Saccharomyces cerevisiae S288C: one gene and its partners. Each later gene encodes a partner of the first gene's protein in a complex. Each region holds a gene or a part of one and is shown in the gene's direction. Other genes may lie near its edges.

Region 1 (2,913 bases):
AAATCACAAGGTAACCTTAGAGTTTGAGCGAGAACTAGTTCAGCAGGGTGTAGCTCGTTCCTCAGCGGGTCTGTGGACAGGTCCATTGGAGACCCCTTCCACTCGATCTTGAGTGACTTGTTACTGTCTGTAGGAAGCGTAGATAAGGGCGGAGAGTAATCTGGTAATTTTTTCCATGAGACGTTTGGTATATATTGAGGAGCATCATGAATCGCCTCAATGGATGCAATGTTAGTGTGAGGAGTGGATGCAGAGGGTGAGAACTTCTTGGCGCGATGTGGACTGGTAGTCATCGTTCTTCTTTGTGGTGAGTATACCTTGCGTTTCCGTGGTATCCATTCAGTGTCGGATTCAAACTTTCCTAGATTGTTATTGTAGAGAGCCTGTTTCCTCATATTATATCTTGCTTGTCTATTCAAATTCGGAGATGCTAACGGGGAAGGTAATCTAGAAGAAGAGGAAGGCAGAGGAGGAGGAGTCATATCATCATTGTATTTGGAATATTTATGTCTAGCATTATAGGCCAGATTGTTGTACCGGTTGATAATGTTCTTAGAATATGGTTGGGCCAAATTGCTGAAAATTTTGTATTGAGACAGAAACCCGTAGGTGGCGTAGCGGTACCTTTTTCTTGATAACCCATTGGGCCATACAGGCTTCACGAACAGCACATTCTCTACAGCGCCTTTAGGCGTAGATCCCACTAGCACTGAAGAGGCCATGCGGGGTGAGCCATTGTGGCTAATTTTCGACTCCAGCTTGGGCGACAAAGGTGGCGATGGTATTATATGTTCATCAACCAAGGAGTCAATGCTGCCAGAAAAGCATCCATTGCCATTATTTTGTGAGTTCTGGTTAATTCTTACGTCGTACGAGCGCCCATAGGGTGAATTATTGCTATAATCACTCATGTTTAAACCGTTTTTATTACTATCGTTATTGTTGTTACTTGCTTTCAAATTCTGATTCAGACGTCTGAAAATGGACTGCGAATCATCCTTACCAATGTAATTCATATTTAATTGAGACTTTTCAGATTCAGGAGAATATAATCCCATGTTTCCCCTATAAATGTTACGATGCGCGAATATCCTGTTTATCGATGCCCAGTGTATGAGCCATAACGGGGATGTTATGAACCATGTGGCTACTTTTATAAGCGGTTCTCTTAGGAAGAAGGGGGTTCTTGATAGACCCCTGCACCTCATCTAGCGGAGGTGCACGGATGTACCAACAGTTTTAGTGAACATTATTCACTAAAGAAGCATTGGGCATACTCAGAGCCAATGGCAAGCTCGTTTACCAGTTCAAATATGTCGTTTCATTATCTGTATGACTGTCGTAACTTTGAATCGATCTAATGTGTTGACCCTGTCTCAGGCTCACCCATGGCGGCGCCTGCACCTGTGGGTGAAGGAAGAAAGACGATGTTTGTGAGGGAACTGAATTGGGTTGAAGTTCATATCCTAAACAAACACTTCACCAGCCATGGATGCATGCCTTGTCTTTTCGCAGTTGGTGGCATGAAAATATATATCACCCACCAAACCCTCTTACTCTTTTCTTACCAAGTAACTCCAGTAAGTGCTCGTTTTTTTCTTCTTCCATTCAAACCTGCTTAAAAACCTCGACAAACGAGCCCCCAACGTACTACCACAGCAACCACTCTGGTTTTTCTATCTTGTTGTCTTTAATTGCCTCCTGACTTTGTTTTGTTTTGTTCTTGCTTAGCGCTCTTGAAAAATATTTTACTTTTCACTATCAGATTAATGTGATAGCAATAGTTAGTGCAACAAAGAAACAAGTCGATAAATGGTACGTTTAAAAAGTAGATATATCCTTTTTGAAATTATATTCCCACCTACAGACACCAACGTTGAGGAATCTGTGTCGAAAGCAGACATCTTGCTTTCGCATCACAGAGCATCGCCTGCGGATGTGTCCATAAAGTCGATACTCCAAGAGATACGACGCTCGCTGTCGTTGAATCTGGGCGACTATGGGTCTGCAAAATGTAACTCTCTCTTGCAGTTGAAATACTTTTCAAATAAGACGTCTACGGGGATAATCCGATGCCATCGAGAGGATTGCGACCTTGTTATCATGGCATTGATGTTGATGTCGAAAATTGGCGACGTCGATGGACTGATCGTGAACCCCGTCAAGGTAAGTGGGACCATCAAGAAAATAGAGCAGTTTGCTATGAGAAGGAATTCTAAAATTCTGAACATAATCAAGTGTAGTCAATCATCACACCTCAGCGATAATGACTTTATTATCAATGATTTCAAGAAAATTGGAAGGGAAAACGAAAACGAAAACGAGGACGATTAGAATATATTAATATATAGATGTACACGTATATGCAGTAGTTTTATTTTTTTATCTATAATACAACTCAAGCACAAGAATGCTTTGTTTTCCTAGTGCTCATCCTGGGCCTAGGCGCCATAGTTATCCGATTTATCATCGGATTCAGCTTTAGTAAACTGAATGGGGCCGTGAGAACCACTGGCACCTTCACTCTTAACATTGACCGCTTCGTCCAGCTTTTCGTAGTTGGTCTTGTATATGCTTTCAATATCTTGTTGGACGAACAGTGGGTTGTCATAAACCTGGTCTTCATGCCTTTTGGCGGAGGCATTTGCCCCTCTTGTGAAAAATCTTGAATCGTACTGCAGATCCGGTTGTTCTGAACGCTTTGCTGCGCCCAGAATTATCTTTTCGGATACGTCTCTTCCTTGAGAGTACGCCAGCTCTTTTAGTCTGGCCACTGTGCTCGTTTGCTTTTTGGGCTTAACTATTGCTCCCGTCTGCGGAGTCCCGTTGTGGTATCTGGCTCGTTGGCTCAATTCTTTCAATTTAGATTCTTTAGCAAGCATTTCCTGTTCCATAGCAAGCCGCTTCAATTCC
Region 2 (3,250 bases), on another chromosome or scaffold:
GGGGAGAACGTTACCACCCATAGTAGCAGCAGTTTTTGTGTCGTTGGTATTTAGGGACGGTTGGTTACAGTGGCAATAATTGGAAAGTTCTTTCACAACAACACAAAAAAGGTGGAGAGAATAATTTGTACGGAAAAAGTTATACCTTTGCATGTCACGTGAACCAACAGAACATGGTAATACATAATGAAGAGAAGTTGCCTAAGTACCTTAGCTACAGTACCAAGTTCTAATCTCATCATTATCACACATTTACAAGACTATTTTTGCAGCAGATGGAGAGATCACTTCAAAAATGCGTTTATGAAACCTATTTATGACGAATTTTTTATTTATTTATTTAGGTAGTTTCTAACCTTCTCCTCGATAATGTTTGAGATCATAGTATTCAAAGTACTATCTTTCTTTGATATTTGGTTTTCCAACGTTAATAGAATTTGCTTCTCAATAATCTTCCCAGTCAAATCTACTTCAATATTAACCTCGTCGCCAATTTTCTTCAAAGGCATGATAACATTGTCTTGGGTGTGCTTTATCATACTAATATAGAAGGCTCCACCTTGCGAAAGTGGGTCAACCTTGATTATGGTCAAGGAAGTTCCATCTATACAAATGAATCCCTTTTCTACTATGTATTTAAAGTACTCTTGATCTCTTAACTGAAACCCAAAAATAATTGAATTCCCCTCAGGTCTTCTTGAGACAATATTAGCAACAGTGTCTACGTGACCCTGTACATAATGACCACCGAACCTAACGTCTTGAGATACCGCTCTCTCCAAGTTGACCTGGGTGCCTTGAATCCAGGAAGCGACATTACTTCGTTTTATAGTTTCTGGTGATATCCCAACTTTGAAGGAGTCGTTATTAAACTCGGTCACAGTAAGGCATACCCCATTTACGGCTATTGAATCTCCAACGTGACAATCGGTGAGAATACTCCCCGCATTGCCAATAGTAATAGAAACTCCTTGACCTCCACTTTCAGAGTCATCATATGGGTTGTTTTCCAAAACAGTCCCCATGCATTCTACAATACCAGTAAACATTGTGCTATGGTTACGATCTCACCAATTGGTTTGACATGTACGTTAGGAAGTACCGTCTTTTTATATCATTTGGATGGATCTGGAATATGACTAATAGATAGTTCAATAACCTTCCTCCATGGAAATTACCGAAAAAAAAGAAAAGGACGGAATTGGTACCCGGAGAGTACTTGGGCGGCTACTTTAGTTTTATATAAACCAATATCGAAGACAGTGATCTTTTTACAGCGAGCTTGAACACAAAATAACTACCGGGGGTAATCGTTCCCACAGAGGCAACATTAATGAATCCTGGGTTAACATTAATACCTACGCGACAAAAATCAATAAAAGAGATTGCTAGCCATAAATGAAAAAAGAGGAAAAAACATGCAGATTGTTTTTGAGCTTTTATGTCATAACAGGTGTATTTATAGCAGTATGAATAGTTTTACTAGCCAATATTCATTTTTTTTGAATCGATGTAAAATTTTTGGATACAAGAAAAATTGCACAATGTTAAATTTCTACAGAAAGCTCATGCAAAGGATGGAAAACTGAGCATTACTGGCAGCTTTGTGGGGTAGTTAAAGAAGTTTATTCTCCGTGGTTGCAGCTGTGGTGGTCTTTTTACTGCCTTTATATCCCAATTCATCCGCTTTTTACCCGGTCCGTTGATTTGAGAAAAAAAATGGTACTCAAAATAGTATGGCAAATATACTCGATGACATGAATAAGCGGAGAGCAATAATCTGTAAAGACTAAAGAAAATAAGCACGATTTGGACTCCCCTATTTGTCAGAATGGATAGAACTCAAACGTTTATTAAAGACTGTCTTTTCACGAAATGCCTGGAGGACCCTGAAAAGCCCTTTAATGAAAATAGATTTCAAGATACGTTGTTGCTACTGCCAACTGATGGCGGATTGACTTCAAGGCTTCAGAGACAGCAAAGAAAATCAAAGCTAAATCTTGACAATTTACAAAAGGTCTCCCAGTTAGAGAGTGCAGACAAACAGTTGGAAAAAAGAGATTACCAAAGAATCAACAAGAACTCTAAAATCGCATTAAGAGAGTACATCAATAATTGTAAAAAAAATACAAAAAAATGTCTGAAATTGGCATACGAAAATAAAATTACTGATAAGGAAGACCTTTTACACTACATAGAGGAGAAGCATCCAACGATATACGAATCATTACCGCAGTACGTTGATTTTGTACCGATGTATAAGGAACTATGGATTAACTATATTAAAGAACTTTTGAACATTACAAAAAACTTAAAAACATTCAATGGATCATTAGCATTATTAAAACTATCTATGGCAGACTATAATGGTGCGCTGTTACGCGTTACAAAGAGCAAAAATAAGACTTTAATAGGCCTTCAAGGCATTGTGATCTGGGACTCTCAGAAATTTTTTATCATGATTGTCAAGGGCAATATAATAGACGAAATAAAATGCATTCCAAAAAAGGGCACAGTATTTCAATTTGAAATCCCAATATCAGATGACGACGATTCGGCATTGAGATATAGTATACTAGGCGATAGGTTCAAGTACAGAAGTGTGGATCGTGCAGGCAGGAAGTTCAAAAGTCGTCGTTGTGATGATATGCTATATTATATACAGAATTAGTAAGAGTTATTACGTACTTCCATTTGCTTCCTCTTCATAAGAGTTCAGTGTTTCCTGAAGTTGTCCCTTTATCATTTCCAATAGTTTGGGATCCTGTAACTTAGACCGTACATAGACATCCAAGTCAAATTTCTTCTCACCATCACCATTATCCCCCTCCATTTTACTACCCAGCTTTAGGTAGTTGTCCTTGACCAATTGTGATTCAATCAATGCACTGGTTAGCCCTCTGTTTTTAAATATTAATTCTTCATCTTCGTTAACCATTTCTTTAACAGTACTGGCAACTCTTTTCCGAAGCGCTTGTTCAAAAGATTCACTATTCTCTTCTGTATTATTCCATGGGTTAGACAATATTTCTCTTTTCAACTTGTCAAAATGTCCCTCCTTCTTATACTTGTCTGATAGTCTTTTACTATCTTCTTGATTATACGCCATTTTTTGGATTTGAAATAAGCTCTACTCTCTTATACTGTGTTTCAGCTTCGCTAAATAAAGAACTGATTTTCTTACGTATTATTTCTCTAGTATCTCTCGTTTTCAAGATATAGAAAAATAAGACAAAAAAAAAGGCCATCA
Region 3 (2,949 bases), on another chromosome or scaffold:
TAAAAATAAACGAAGGATGCGTGCTGGGTAGACTTTTAGTAGAACTCTAAGTGTGAAGTATATATACAAATAACAAAAATAATATATGAATAAATGCAGTACTTTATGAAACTCTATTCTTAGCACACCAGTTGAAATACACAACGTAAGCTTTTATTTTTGTATCTTGAATTTCGTGTCACACACTCTTTGCGTTCCTGCTCTCTTGTTCTCTGGTGAACTCGAAATAAGCAGTAGAGAAAATAAAGGAGAAACAGGGAAGAAATGGAGAGAACGAACGAGGCTTTATCTCATTTTATTCTACTCTTTGCTATATATACATACGTACACCTCATTTGCATCATACCGCCCAAATTTCTTTAGCCACAATTCCATGTTCGAACCGCGAACGTGAAACTGACGATCTTATCGTATGCATCAGCATCATCTCTTTTGGCGATTTGCCGTTACTAGGCCTTTAAACTGGTGTGGCACTGCCTACACCCCATCACCACTCACACAATAGTCCGTATGTCATGTGCTACGGCAAGCGCACAGCCACCGACTGGTGCTACTGGCACCTTGCTCCGGGGCGCTTGCCTTTAATCCTCGTGCCGCTCCACAAAATCGACGATGCTTTCGGCACATTCCCCAGGCTTCTCCGCATTTACCCAGTGACCCGCATCGATGTCACGTGTTTCAAAGCGTGGAAAGAACGCGCCGATGATCGGAAGATACTCGTCTACCACATAATGCGATTGAGTAGCCCTGATGAATAGCGCAGGCCGCGTCCATCGTTCACGAGCAGGATCTAGGGGCCACGCGGCAATTTCACCTTTGACAATGGCATCTTTCAGTGTTGCGAGGGGAATTCGTTCTTCGAATGTATATGACGACACAGACGATGAATTGTCCATCTTGACCTTTTTCAGCGCCGTTAGGAGAAACCGCCTTACTAGCTCATTGCCGCCGATCCTCTCTGCAAGGTGTTCATCAGCCTGTTTCAGCGTGCGGATAGTTTTGCCCTTGTCGTTGACGATTTCCATCAGCGCTTTGATGTATTCGACAAACTCAGCGTTAGGGCGCAAACTCACCGGAGCGTTCTCTATACAGACTAACATCGAACAAAGTTGCGGGTTTTTCAGGACCAGCATCATGGCAACTTTACCACCCATTGAGTGTCCTATTATAATAGGGCCTCCATTGGTGTTTAATTCGTGCTTTGTGATAAAGTGTTTCACGTCTTCCGACATGACTTCGTAGTTATGGACTGAACTGTGTGGTGAGGATCCATGATTTCTTAGGTCCAGCAGATACACGTCTCTTCCCAATTTCTTGTTAAGGTTACGGCCAATGCTTCGGTTGTTGAGCTTGTTACCGAATAAGCCGTGAAGTATGATAATAGGTGGTCTTGGCTTCCCTTCATCCCCAGTTTTTACTGCATCTCTCTTGATTATGTCATATGAAAGGTCCAGTGGGACTTGCTTTTGTTGCAGCACCTTTGCTAATGAATGAAAGGCACATAGTGACTGCTTAAAAATGCAGGAACTTAAATTATTCCGAATGGTATTTTGTCTCACATATATTGTCCCATACTGTGCCAGGATCCCGGCTTTACCCAGTATCATCATTGTACCGTTACCAATTCTCCTCGTATATCACGGTTAGTTTTTAAACCTCGGGGTGACGTTTACTATTGGCGTACTAATATATTCTTATTTTCTTTTCTTTTTTGTTGGCAGTTTCAAGCAACACATGTACTGGATAACCAACCCCCGCACGCTCTTGGAAAAAATTGAGAAGGCATCGGACACTTGCTGATGAGTATTTCGAAAAATTCCATGAAGATGAGGCCAAGATTGTTTGGAAGAGATTGAAAAGAAGAAGAAGAAAAAAAGATAAAAGCAAATCAAAATGATCAATGGCGTATATTACAATGAAATTAGTAGAGATTTGGATATCTCTTCCTCCACTCAATGTCTTCGGTTTCTCAAAGAAACAGTTATACCGTCCTTAGCAAATAATGGTAACAACAGTACATCAATACAGTATCATGGCATATCGAAGAACGATAACATTAAGAAGTCTGTAAATAAGTTAGATAAACAAATCAACATGGCAGATAGAAGTTTGGGTCTACAACAAGTAGTTTGTATATTCTCTTACGGTCCACATATTCAAAAAATGTTAAGTATTTTGGAAATATTTAAAAAGGGTTATATTAAGAACAATAAGAAAATTTATCAGTGGAATAAATTAACATCGTTCGATATAAAAAGAGAAGGCAGAAATGAACTACAGGAAGAAAGGCTCAAGGTTCCAATTTTGGTCACCCTTGTTTCTGATTCAGAGATCATTGATTTAAACCTACATTCATTCACCAAACAATAAATCGACCAGCTCTTTAGCATCCATAGCTACTTCTTGCATTTGTACTTTATAATATAAAGCATTTTTAGAAGGCTTAATCGATATCAGAACTACCAATTGTTCCTACTACAAGAAGTATGTGTCATTGAATGAAAGAAAAAAGGATGCATGGAAATAGCACAACTTTATTTATTTTCTTCCCTTTGGAAATCGGAAATTCAATGATATGCCCTCTGATATAATAGCAAAGACATGATCGTTAATTTAGGCCTCGCTTTGAATCCATAAACCACCGCAAAAATGCAAAATCTACGGATCTTCGAAGAGGCCATGTTTATGTTGGTGAAGTTTGTCACAAGAACCCTAAAACTTTCACTAACATATACAGTCTTGACCCATGACAATAAAGGAATATGGAAAAATATAAAAAAAGATTGTTAGGCTCCTACTTAGCAACTTTTCTTATTTCCATATTCTAGTATCAGTGGTCACTGTGAAGTAGTTCCCTTAAACAATTTCTACTTTTCACTAGATATAAAGTAAAATGAAAGTATGCCAAATTCGTGTCTGTGTTAATGCGTGTTTTTTAATAATTTTGTT

The links.
Region 2: POP5 (region 1) and POP4 share a complex: the UniProt entries of both Saccharomyces cerevisiae proteins name them as parts of the nuclear RNase P and RNase MRP complex.
Region 3: POP5 (region 1) and POP6 share a complex: the UniProt entries of both Saccharomyces cerevisiae proteins name them as parts of the nuclear RNase P and RNase MRP complex.

What each region holds. Positions count from the first base shown.
Region 1 is NC_001133.9:80,894-83,806, forward strand, and holds POP5 (RNA-binding protein POP5), read left to right. Parts: upstream 1-1,812; coding exon 1,813-2,334; downstream 2,335-2,913. Other genes in the region: FUN19 (Fun19p), read right to left, coding at 1-1,058; mRNA splicing protein PRP45, read right to left, coding at 2,442-2,913. UniProt on the Saccharomyces cerevisiae protein: Component of ribonuclease P, a protein complex that generates mature tRNA molecules by cleaving their 5'-ends. Also a component of RNase MRP, which cleaves pre-rRNA sequences.
Region 2 is NC_001134.8:727,054-730,303, forward strand, and holds POP4 (RNase P/RNase MRP complex subunit), read left to right. Parts: upstream 1-1,831; coding exon 1,832-2,671; downstream 2,672-3,250. Other genes in the region: RCF3 (Rcf3p), read right to left, coding at 1-21; RIB5 (riboflavin synthase), read right to left, coding at 333-1,049; SHG1 (Shg1p), read right to left, coding at 2,681-3,109. UniProt on the Saccharomyces cerevisiae protein: Required for 5.8S rRNA and tRNA processing; associated with RNase MRP and RNase P.
Region 3 is NC_001139.9:545,102-548,050, reverse strand, and holds POP6 (ribonuclease P/MRP protein subunit POP6), read left to right. Parts: upstream 1-1,893; coding exon 1,894-2,370; downstream 2,371-2,949. Other genes in the region: NAG1 (Nag1p), read left to right, coding at 751-1,242; IMO32 (Imo32p), read right to left, coding at 582-1,610. UniProt on the Saccharomyces cerevisiae protein: Component of ribonuclease P, a protein complex that generates mature tRNA molecules by cleaving their 5'-ends. Also a component of RNase MRP, which cleaves pre-rRNA sequences.